Sus scrofa: one gene and its partner. The protein of the gene in region 1 purifies or fractionates together with the protein of each later gene. This does not show direct contact. Links are inferred from orthologs where the notes say so. Each region holds a gene or a part of one and is shown in the gene's direction. Other genes may lie near its edges.

Region 1 (3,729 bases):
AAATAATTAAAAGAACAGTGGGGAAAGCATGAGTATTAAGAAGGTATATCTAGATTTGAATCTTGTGTGACCCTGGGCAAGTTATTTAACTCCCTGTTTTCTCAACTGTGAATAAAGAATAAAACCTACTTTTTATTTATTTTTTTTCAGATTAGGTTAAATGCTCTGGGTAAATAACTTAGCAAAAATAAGACATATAAACTTAGAAGAAATATTAGTTCCATTTTCAGATTCCCTGTTGAGATCGTGATATAGATTAAGAAAATGGGCCTTGAAAATGACCCTCCCATTGTATAATTATAATTGAAGGCATGAATTTAAAAAGTTGCCTGGCTTCAACTTAGCCAACATATATCCAGCATTAATCTTATGCTAGGAGGTAGGAAATATTAATACAAGTAATAGTATAAAATGGTTTCTACCTTCAAAATTGCTTATAGTGTCATTATTTTATTTTTTAGCAGTTTTTGCTATTTAGATTGAATTTTTTTCCACTCCCCACAGGAAAACTTAGATACGCCAACAACAGCAATTATAAAAATGATGTCATGATCAGAAAGGAGGTAAGTTCTTTTCAAATGTTTCATTTTTTTTTTTGCATTAAGCCCATTTTCCTCCTGTCTGTGTTTTTATTTACATATTTTAAAGTACATTAAAGGCTGTAAAAAAGCAGCTAATTTGTAGATTGAAAAGGGATTCCAGTTGTAGCATCTGTAACAACAAAAGAAGCAATCTGAATATATTAAATTGTAGTCCCACATTTGAGCATATTATTTAATTTATTCATAACTAACTTTGTCTTTTACCCTATTTGTCATTTAAAACTAATTGATAATCATGACTTAAACACAGTATGAATTTTAAATAAGAGGTGCAAAAGTTAGGTGTGAGAAAAAGTTCAAAGTATCAACTGTGATGTGTATTTGTATTTTTCTCTGTTCACCCTGTAGATTTTGCATTAACCATTCTGAAATATTTGAGTCCATGTTACAAATGAAGAGGATAAGATTTAAAAAGGGACTAGGATGTGGAGAGGGAAAAATATATATTTAAAGGAAAGGGCAAGGGAGTGAAGAAAAATCATAAGGATGGATGATTTTCTCCCAACTTGTGCTTTTAGAATCAGAATTAAGGGTTTTTTTTTTTTTTTGATATTCTATTTGAATACTCAGGATTTGTAATTTTATTATTTCTTTCTGAGGTATGGGGAGAATAGACCCTGAAATTTTTATAACCTATTTTCAGGCTTATGTACACAAGAGTGTAATGGAAGAACTGAAGAGAATTATTGACGACAGTGAAATTACAAAGGAAGATGATGCTTTGTGGCCTCCTCCTGACAGGGTTGGTCGGCAGGTTTGTATTTAGTAATTCTTTATTTTTAAAATATTTATTTATTTATTTTTGCTTTTTAGGGCGGCACCCGAGGCATATGGAATTTCCCAGGCTAGGGGTTGAATTAGAGCTATAGCTGTGGGCCTATGCCCCTATGCCACGGCCACAGCAGCGCGGGATCTGAGCCGGCGTCTGTTGCCATACCACAGCTCACATCAGTGACAGATCCTTAACCCACTGAGCAAGACCAGGGACTGAACTCGCATCCTCATGAGTCCTAGTTGGATCATTAACTGCTGAGCCATGAAGGAACTCCCATGTTTAGTAATTCTTTAAATATGTAATAATAAAAATTGTTAGTATAATTGTTATGTTTCTCCTTATTTGTTTAGACTGGATCCTCACTGAGTTTTGGGTTTTCCATTTAGTAGGCATCTGGTAAATACTAATTTTATTTCACTTTGCCTTATTTTCTGTGCTACTCCTATAAGTAAAGGAATCAATGCATAGCTGTCAATTAATGCTTTCTGAACTTTGCAGCTGCCCCAGCTAAAGTTACAATGTTTTTCACACTATTATGAATCATTTCTATTGTAGGTTAATTACTTTTATTAGGAATAATAAATTCATAATTAATACAATAGGAAAAAAACACAGGTGTTTGTTAAATTTGAGCATTAGGATTCTCATTAACTACCTAAAATTCACTTTCTTCAGATTTATAACTTTGGAAATTCTTATTTGCCCCAGAGAGGGACTTGATTGGTTTCTTTGTTCAAACTAACCATTGCCTTTCCCTCTCATATTCCCTTCAGAAAAATTGATGTTTCTCAGAGGGCTGCTGAAGAACTCTGAAGGCCTAATTTCACTCTATAGAAAGACAGTTTGATTTCTGAATTGGGTCTTTTCACCTCTTGGAGAAATGAGATATGACCCCAGGAGGAAGAAACATTTAATTTCGCTGTTGTATATTCCCAAGGATTATACTGTTTAACAGCTCCTTTGACTACAAGAAAATGTGGAGAAATCTAACAGATGCTGACGCTCTGTAGCAGTAACTTAACACTTCTATTTAAAGAAACATTATTTAAGAAAGCAAAGGTAATAGTTATCAGTATTTTATGGGCTGTAAATACTTTTACAAAGTAAATTTTGATCTTTTTGTCTTATGCAAGTATGCATATGCATTAAAAATCAAAAACTATAGCAACAAAGCTTTTATCATCTCTTAGATTGAGGGAAACCCAGTGTTTTCATCTACTCACTTGATGTGTTCATGCGTTTTAATTAGTGGGGAGGATTACTCATGCTCTAGAAATTGTCTATTGAATCTTTAAGACAGACTTTATGACCGCTAGAGAGCCTTTGTTAAATCTCCATTTTGTGTGTGCTATGAACGGTGCTAATTAGGTCTTCTGATCAAGCGTATAGCTAGGAGTGTCTTTAATGGCATCTGTTAATTTAAACTGAAAAAGCTGTTAATTTAAACTGAAAGCAGTTATAACTTTTTAATTTTTCATTTTAGATTTGCAGATAAAATTTGGAGAAAAATTTATACTGTAATTTTGGCACGCCGGAAGCATCTGTATTATGTTGCATTTGTTTTATTCTTAATTGTTTTCTGAAGTCAGAAGACTATGAATTTCTTAGTCCTATGATCCAAGGTTCAGAAATTTGTATTATCATTTACTAGTGATTGTAAATATCAACGATTTTTTTCCTCTGCTTTGGCAGTCTTGAATTTCACAAAATTGTGCTAATAAAGCCTACCCTTGTCAGGGTTTTTAGCCTAATTTTAAGGATTACAGAGAATGTAAAGTCCTTGGCATAGGCTCTAACACACAGTAGGTGCTAAAGTGGTTCTGTTGTTAATATTATGCAATGTGTCTGTAGAGTCTGGTAGGAAGGATAAATGTATTTATCATATTTAAAGTAGACTTATACCCATAGTATTAATTTTTATTGACATTATAAAGAACATCCCAGTGTCACTCTGAAGTATATCATTCATTTGATTGTATCTTCTTTATGGCATCTCTGGAGAGCAATTTCTTTTTCATTTTTTCATTTTTATTGAAGTATAGTTAATTTATAAGGTTGTGATAATTGCTGTACCACAGAGTGATTCAGTTATACATGTACACACATCCATTCTCTTTCCCACATAGATTATCATAGAATATTGGATAGAGTTCCTTGTGCTACACAGCAGGTCCCCATTGGCCAGTCATTCCATGTACTTCAGTGTGTTATGCCCATCCCAGAGCCCCAGGCCATCCCCCACCCCACCCGTCCCCCTTTGGTAACCGTAAGTTTTAAAAAGTCTGAGTCTGTTTCTGTGAATTGTTGATTCATCCTAGTATTGGGGACTCCTGAAGCAGTTGATGAGGTTTT
Region 2 (4,802 bases), about 40 Mb from region 1:
GCATCCCACTAGTTTTTACAAGCTTCATCTTACTCCTACCTTTAATCATTAGTAACAGGGCTACGGACAGGATACTAAACCCAGCAGGGATGAAGCACATTTGTTGAAAGAGCAGGGGTTAAAGATGGCAGTGTTAGAACACTTGCAATGACTTTGTATTGAATGCAAGTCAGTTTTTAAATGAGTCTTTTTGAGATCTTTTTTTTTTTTTTTTTTTTTGTCTTTTGTTGTTGTTGCTATTTCTTGGGCCGCTCCCGCAGCATATGGAGGTTCCCAGGCTAGGGGTTGAATCGGAGCTCTAGCCACCGGCCTACGCCAGAGCCACAGCAACGCAGGATCCGAGCCGCGTCTGCAACCTACACCACAGCTCACGGCAACGCCGAATCGTTAACCCACTGAGCAAGGGCAGGGACCGAACCTGCAACCTCATGGTTCCTAGTCGGATTCGTTAACCACTGCGCCACGACGGGAACTCCTGAGATCTTCTGAATTGGATCTCTGGTGGGACTCGGGAAGGTGAAGTATGGGAGGGAAGGCAAGCTGTGACCCTAGAAAACTTCTCAAGTTTCATTTCAAAGCTGTAGCAAGTTCCTGGTCAGCCACTGCTCTTAGGATTTGTTGTTGTTGTTCTTTAAGTGGGAAATGCAGACTGGTGTAAGAGGTGGCCAGTAAGTCCTTCTGTTGGATATCAACCTAAACCAAAGTGGGGGATTTGGAGGAAGATAAACGAGTGAATAAGGAAAAAGCAACATGAGGGGAGAAGGGGGCAGGGCAGACACCTGAGGAGAGGAACCTGTAGCCGGCCCCTCCCAAGCTGCAGGGAAACGAGTTCAGCAGGACTTAGCCCAGAAGGAACGAGATTTGCCGAAAAGAGAGGGGGAGGGAGAACCTTTGGGTTGTCTAAAGAATTGGGAGGCACGGGGCAGGGCAGGGCTGCAGAGGGAGTGACCGCATGGCCCAGATTATTGGCGCATTGCCCTGCTTTGGATCCCCAGTCACAGTGCCTCGGACGAGGTTAATTAGAATACTAACTGGGTCCGCCCAGAAGCCTTCACCTTGCCCTCCTGACCCTGGGGCCAAGCCCGAGAAGGGTCCCGAGTCGAAGGCCGGAGCAAACTGGGGCCGTAGTCACTTCGTCGCCCGAGTCTCCGGGACCGCTCCAGGGGCAGAGCCAGGCCAGGGCTGCCCGCCCAGCCTGGCCCGCCGCCTCCAAAGCCGTAGAAGCCGCGGGCAACTCTGAGGCTGCGGGGACAGGTGACTGACCGGCAGCGTCCTCCGCATTGCACGCCCCTCTCGCGGTTCTCGGTTCGAAGGGTCGAGCTGAGCGGCCAAGGGCAATTAGCACGCGCTTTCGACCTCCCCACCTTCTAAGAGAGGGTCAGTTGGGGTCTTCGCCCCCAACATGGAGCGCCCCAGTGCGTTCCCAGAGCTACGCTGCCCCGCCCCAGGTCCCCCAGATGCTCTGGGACCTGGGTTCAGGCTCGGGCCTGAATATTCTTCCTTTTCTCACTTATTAGCCCCTCCTCCCTTCCTGGGTGCAGGTGGGCCTTGCCCCCTTTTCTCTCGCAGGTCCTAGACGGACGAAGAGTGTCTATGAGGAGAGGAGCTGTGCCTCGGAACTTTTCTCGGCATCCAGAGAACTGCTATATACGCAGCAGGCGCTCACTTAACGGTATCAGTGGCAGTAAAAGAGCCCACGGGCTCTTAGATTAAAGTCTTCCGCTTCTACTCGCTTCCTCCTCCTCCGCTTCAGTCTATGAAATGGTGTACTCTCCCTTTAAGACTAAAATGGTGGCTTGCTGCGATCCACTCCACTTCCGGTGGGGAGGGGGGCGGGACCCCAGCCCGCTCACGCCGGAAGTGGTTTGCGTTTTCAAGATGGCGACTCCCTATGTAACTGACGAGACCGGCGGTGAGTGCGGGAGACGCGGAGCCGCTTCTCCCCGGGCTCTCGGGGCAGGGGTTCGGACTTGGAAAGGGGTCTGTGCCCCGCCCATCCCGGGGCCCCTCCTTTGCCCCGCCCTCCGGACCGCCTTCCCCATTCATTCTCTCCTACGGGGTGTCACCTGCGCCCCCTTCTGGTCTCGTGTTTGGGGGTCTCCGCTTCCGGTCACCCAAACCCAGGGGTCCTTCAGTGCTGGTCTTTGCTCCGGGACCCTCGTGGACCCTTAGCTTTTCTCCAGCAGTTGGAGTCTCTATATCTGCTTTGGGTTCTTCAGCCTTGGGGGGGCTCCTCCACTCTCAGTTCCCTCCAATTCCTGCTTTTCCCCTCTTCCCCTCCCCCATCTCAGTATGCCTGCTTTTTGCCCTATCCCAGTCCCGTTTTAATTCTTTTTCTGAAAGCTATATCTATTGGAGCCCTCCTCATTGCTGCATAGTGCTTTTTCCACTCCCTCATCTTCATCGTTGGGTCATTCAAGTTCAGAGGTGTGAAGGGAAGTGGAACATATTAAAACTTTCAGCTAGAGTTTTCTCCTTGATGGCACCACCCTTCTGTACCTTCTCTGGTGATGGTGACTGGAGTTGAGGGATCTAAGGAGGAAGAAGGCAAACAAGAAAGTGTTTAGTGGCCTTTAGCAAGCCCTCGGACAAATTTATAGAACCCACTATTCCTTATGCATAGAAAAGAATTTCCAGCCTGTCTGATTGAGATGCTTAAGTGTCTCCTGTGTATGTGAGGTTTACGTGTTGAAAACTGAGAATCAAGATTTTCATTTTGGTTGTGTCCCATCCTAATTTACTCATCTTTAGAAAAATGTGCATAGTAATATTTACTCAGTGATGATCAGATAAGATAGTGTATGTGAAAGCGATTTATAAACTGTTGTATAAGGCAAGGTGTTAACTGGTTTTTGTCACCCTCATTGTGTATGTGTATTCTGTAGAAGTGATGGTGTGTGTGTGTGCTTTGGTACATGCAGTCTGTTTTAAAATGTACCTTTTATGCTTCTTGCTTTGATGTTTTCCATGTTACATCTCACCCACCTCTCCTATCATGTTTAATGACGACCCAAGTCTCTGCTATTTCTCTGCAACCTCACATTTCATAGTGATACAATCTCTTCTGCACTCTACATAGTAGGTCCTTCTTCAACTAATTCCTTTCAATGTGTACTTTGAAAACATTACTCATTTTCTATTTTTTTGGCGGTACGCATGATACTAAGAAATTCCCAGGTCAAGGATCGAACCCGTGGGATGGTAGTGCCCCAAGCTGCTGCAGTGATAATGCCATATCCTCAACTTGCTTTGATGTGATAATCCCCCACTGCGCTTTTTTTTTTTTTTTTTTTGGGTCTTTTTTGGCCACCTCAGGGCATATGTAGTACCCTCCTAGGCCAGGGATCTGATCCGAACCACAGTTGCTACCTGTGCCGAAGCAATGGTAACACTGGATTGTTTAACCCACTGTGCCTGGCCAGGGATTGAACCTGTGTCCTGGCACTGCAGAGACATCACCCATTTTGTTGCACCACATTGGGAACTCCATAACTCCCTTTTCTTTCTGATTTAGTGAAAATCCAGATATCACATCTTGCCCTACTCTCCCACCAAGAGGTATCTTCTGTTATCTCTATGTGGAAAAGGAGAAGGAATCACATTGCTTTTTTATTTCCCTAATTCCAGCACATTGATCTACCACTGTCACTGTAATTCTCATAGGTATTGCAATGCAGCTAGAGCATTTTCTCTAAAACCTCAGGGCCATCATCCACTGCCCACAAGGACCCAAAGGTGTTGTATCATATTTTTTTCTCCATTCTGTTTCTCAGTGTCACCACTTATTCTCAGTAACTGCAACATCTTTGGAATACTCTTATCTTTTTAGTTCCTCCGAATGAGACCATTGACTTTCCTTTGAATTTTCAAACCAGTTACACATCACAGTCACTACAATCTGGACCTACTACATAGGACCTCACCTATGACACTGCCTCCCCCTTCAGGTGCTCCTCCATCACTTATTTTAGCTTCTTTACCCAATCACCTTTATTACTTATACACCCACAGAATCGGCTTTTTTCCCCTCCTTAGGTTCTCTGGTGCTTGACATTTCCCATTTTGGTGAGTCCACCAGTATGTTCATGATGACTTTTTTTTTTTTTTTTAATTTTATGGCCACACTTTTGATCTGTGGAAGTTCTCTGGCCAGGGATTGAAGCCGCATCACAGCTGCGACCTACACTGTGGTTGTTGGATCCTTTAACCCACTGTACCAGGCCAAGGCTCAAACCCACAGTGACCTGAGCCACTGTAGTGGTATTCTTAACCCACTGTGCCATGGCAGGAACTTCTTCATGACTACTTTTGATGCTGCCCTGCTAGACCTATGTGACGAGTCACTATATCATCATTGCTTTCTTCATTCATTTTGATCTTCTGTACTAAGTCAGCACTTCTGTTACCTTGATCATCCTATCACCTGTTTTCTTGGCTTCTGCTTCTAGGCCCTAGTACATGGCTAGAGAAAAGACACAGATATACACCTTCAGTATAATATAACTTAATGTTAACTTCAGCCAAGATCACAGCTTCAATTCTTCTTTCTCGATTTGCTTACATTCTGCCATGGCTATTTCCCCTGCTTTTCCCAGCATTCTGTGACCATCCCTTTTAATGCTTCTTGTGGCAAATGGCCTCACTTTCTGTTTCATTGAAAAATCAAGGTGGTTTGTTATTTTTCTTTTTCTTTCTTCTTCTTTTTTTTTTTTTTTTTTTTTTTTTTGGCCACACTTGCGACATGTGGAAGTTCCCAGGCCAGTTATTGAATCCAAGAAGCAGCTGTGACCTATGCCATAGCT

Evidence for each region. The genes of interacting proteins can lie anywhere in the genome.
Region 2: the proteins of MAGOHB (region 1) and PYM1 purify together in Homo sapiens (co-immunoprecipitation; 3 studies listed by BioGRID and IntAct, with this or other methods). This does not show direct contact. The link is inferred for Sus scrofa from reciprocal best matches to the Homo sapiens genes MAGOHB and PYM1.

The regions. Positions count from the first base shown.
Region 1 is NC_010447.5:61,428,131-61,431,859, forward strand, and holds part of MAGOHB (protein mago nashi homolog 2), read left to right. Parts: intron 1-504; coding exon 505-563; intron 564-1,245; coding exon 1,246-1,356; intron 1,357-3,729. UniProt on the Homo sapiens protein: Required for pre-mRNA splicing as component of the spliceosome. Plays a redundant role with MAGOH in the exon junction complex and in the nonsense-mediated decay (NMD) pathway.
Region 2 is NC_010447.5:21,325,370-21,330,171, reverse strand, and holds the start of PYM1 (partner of Y14 and mago), read left to right. Parts: upstream 1-1,770; 5' UTR 1,771-1,788; coding exon 1,789-1,912; intron 1,913-4,802. UniProt on the Homo sapiens protein: Key regulator of the exon junction complex (EJC), a multiprotein complex that associates immediately upstream of the exon-exon junction on mRNAs and serves as a positional landmark for the intron exon structure of genes and directs post-transcriptional processes in the cytoplasm such as mRNA export, nonsense-mediated mRNA decay (NMD) or translation.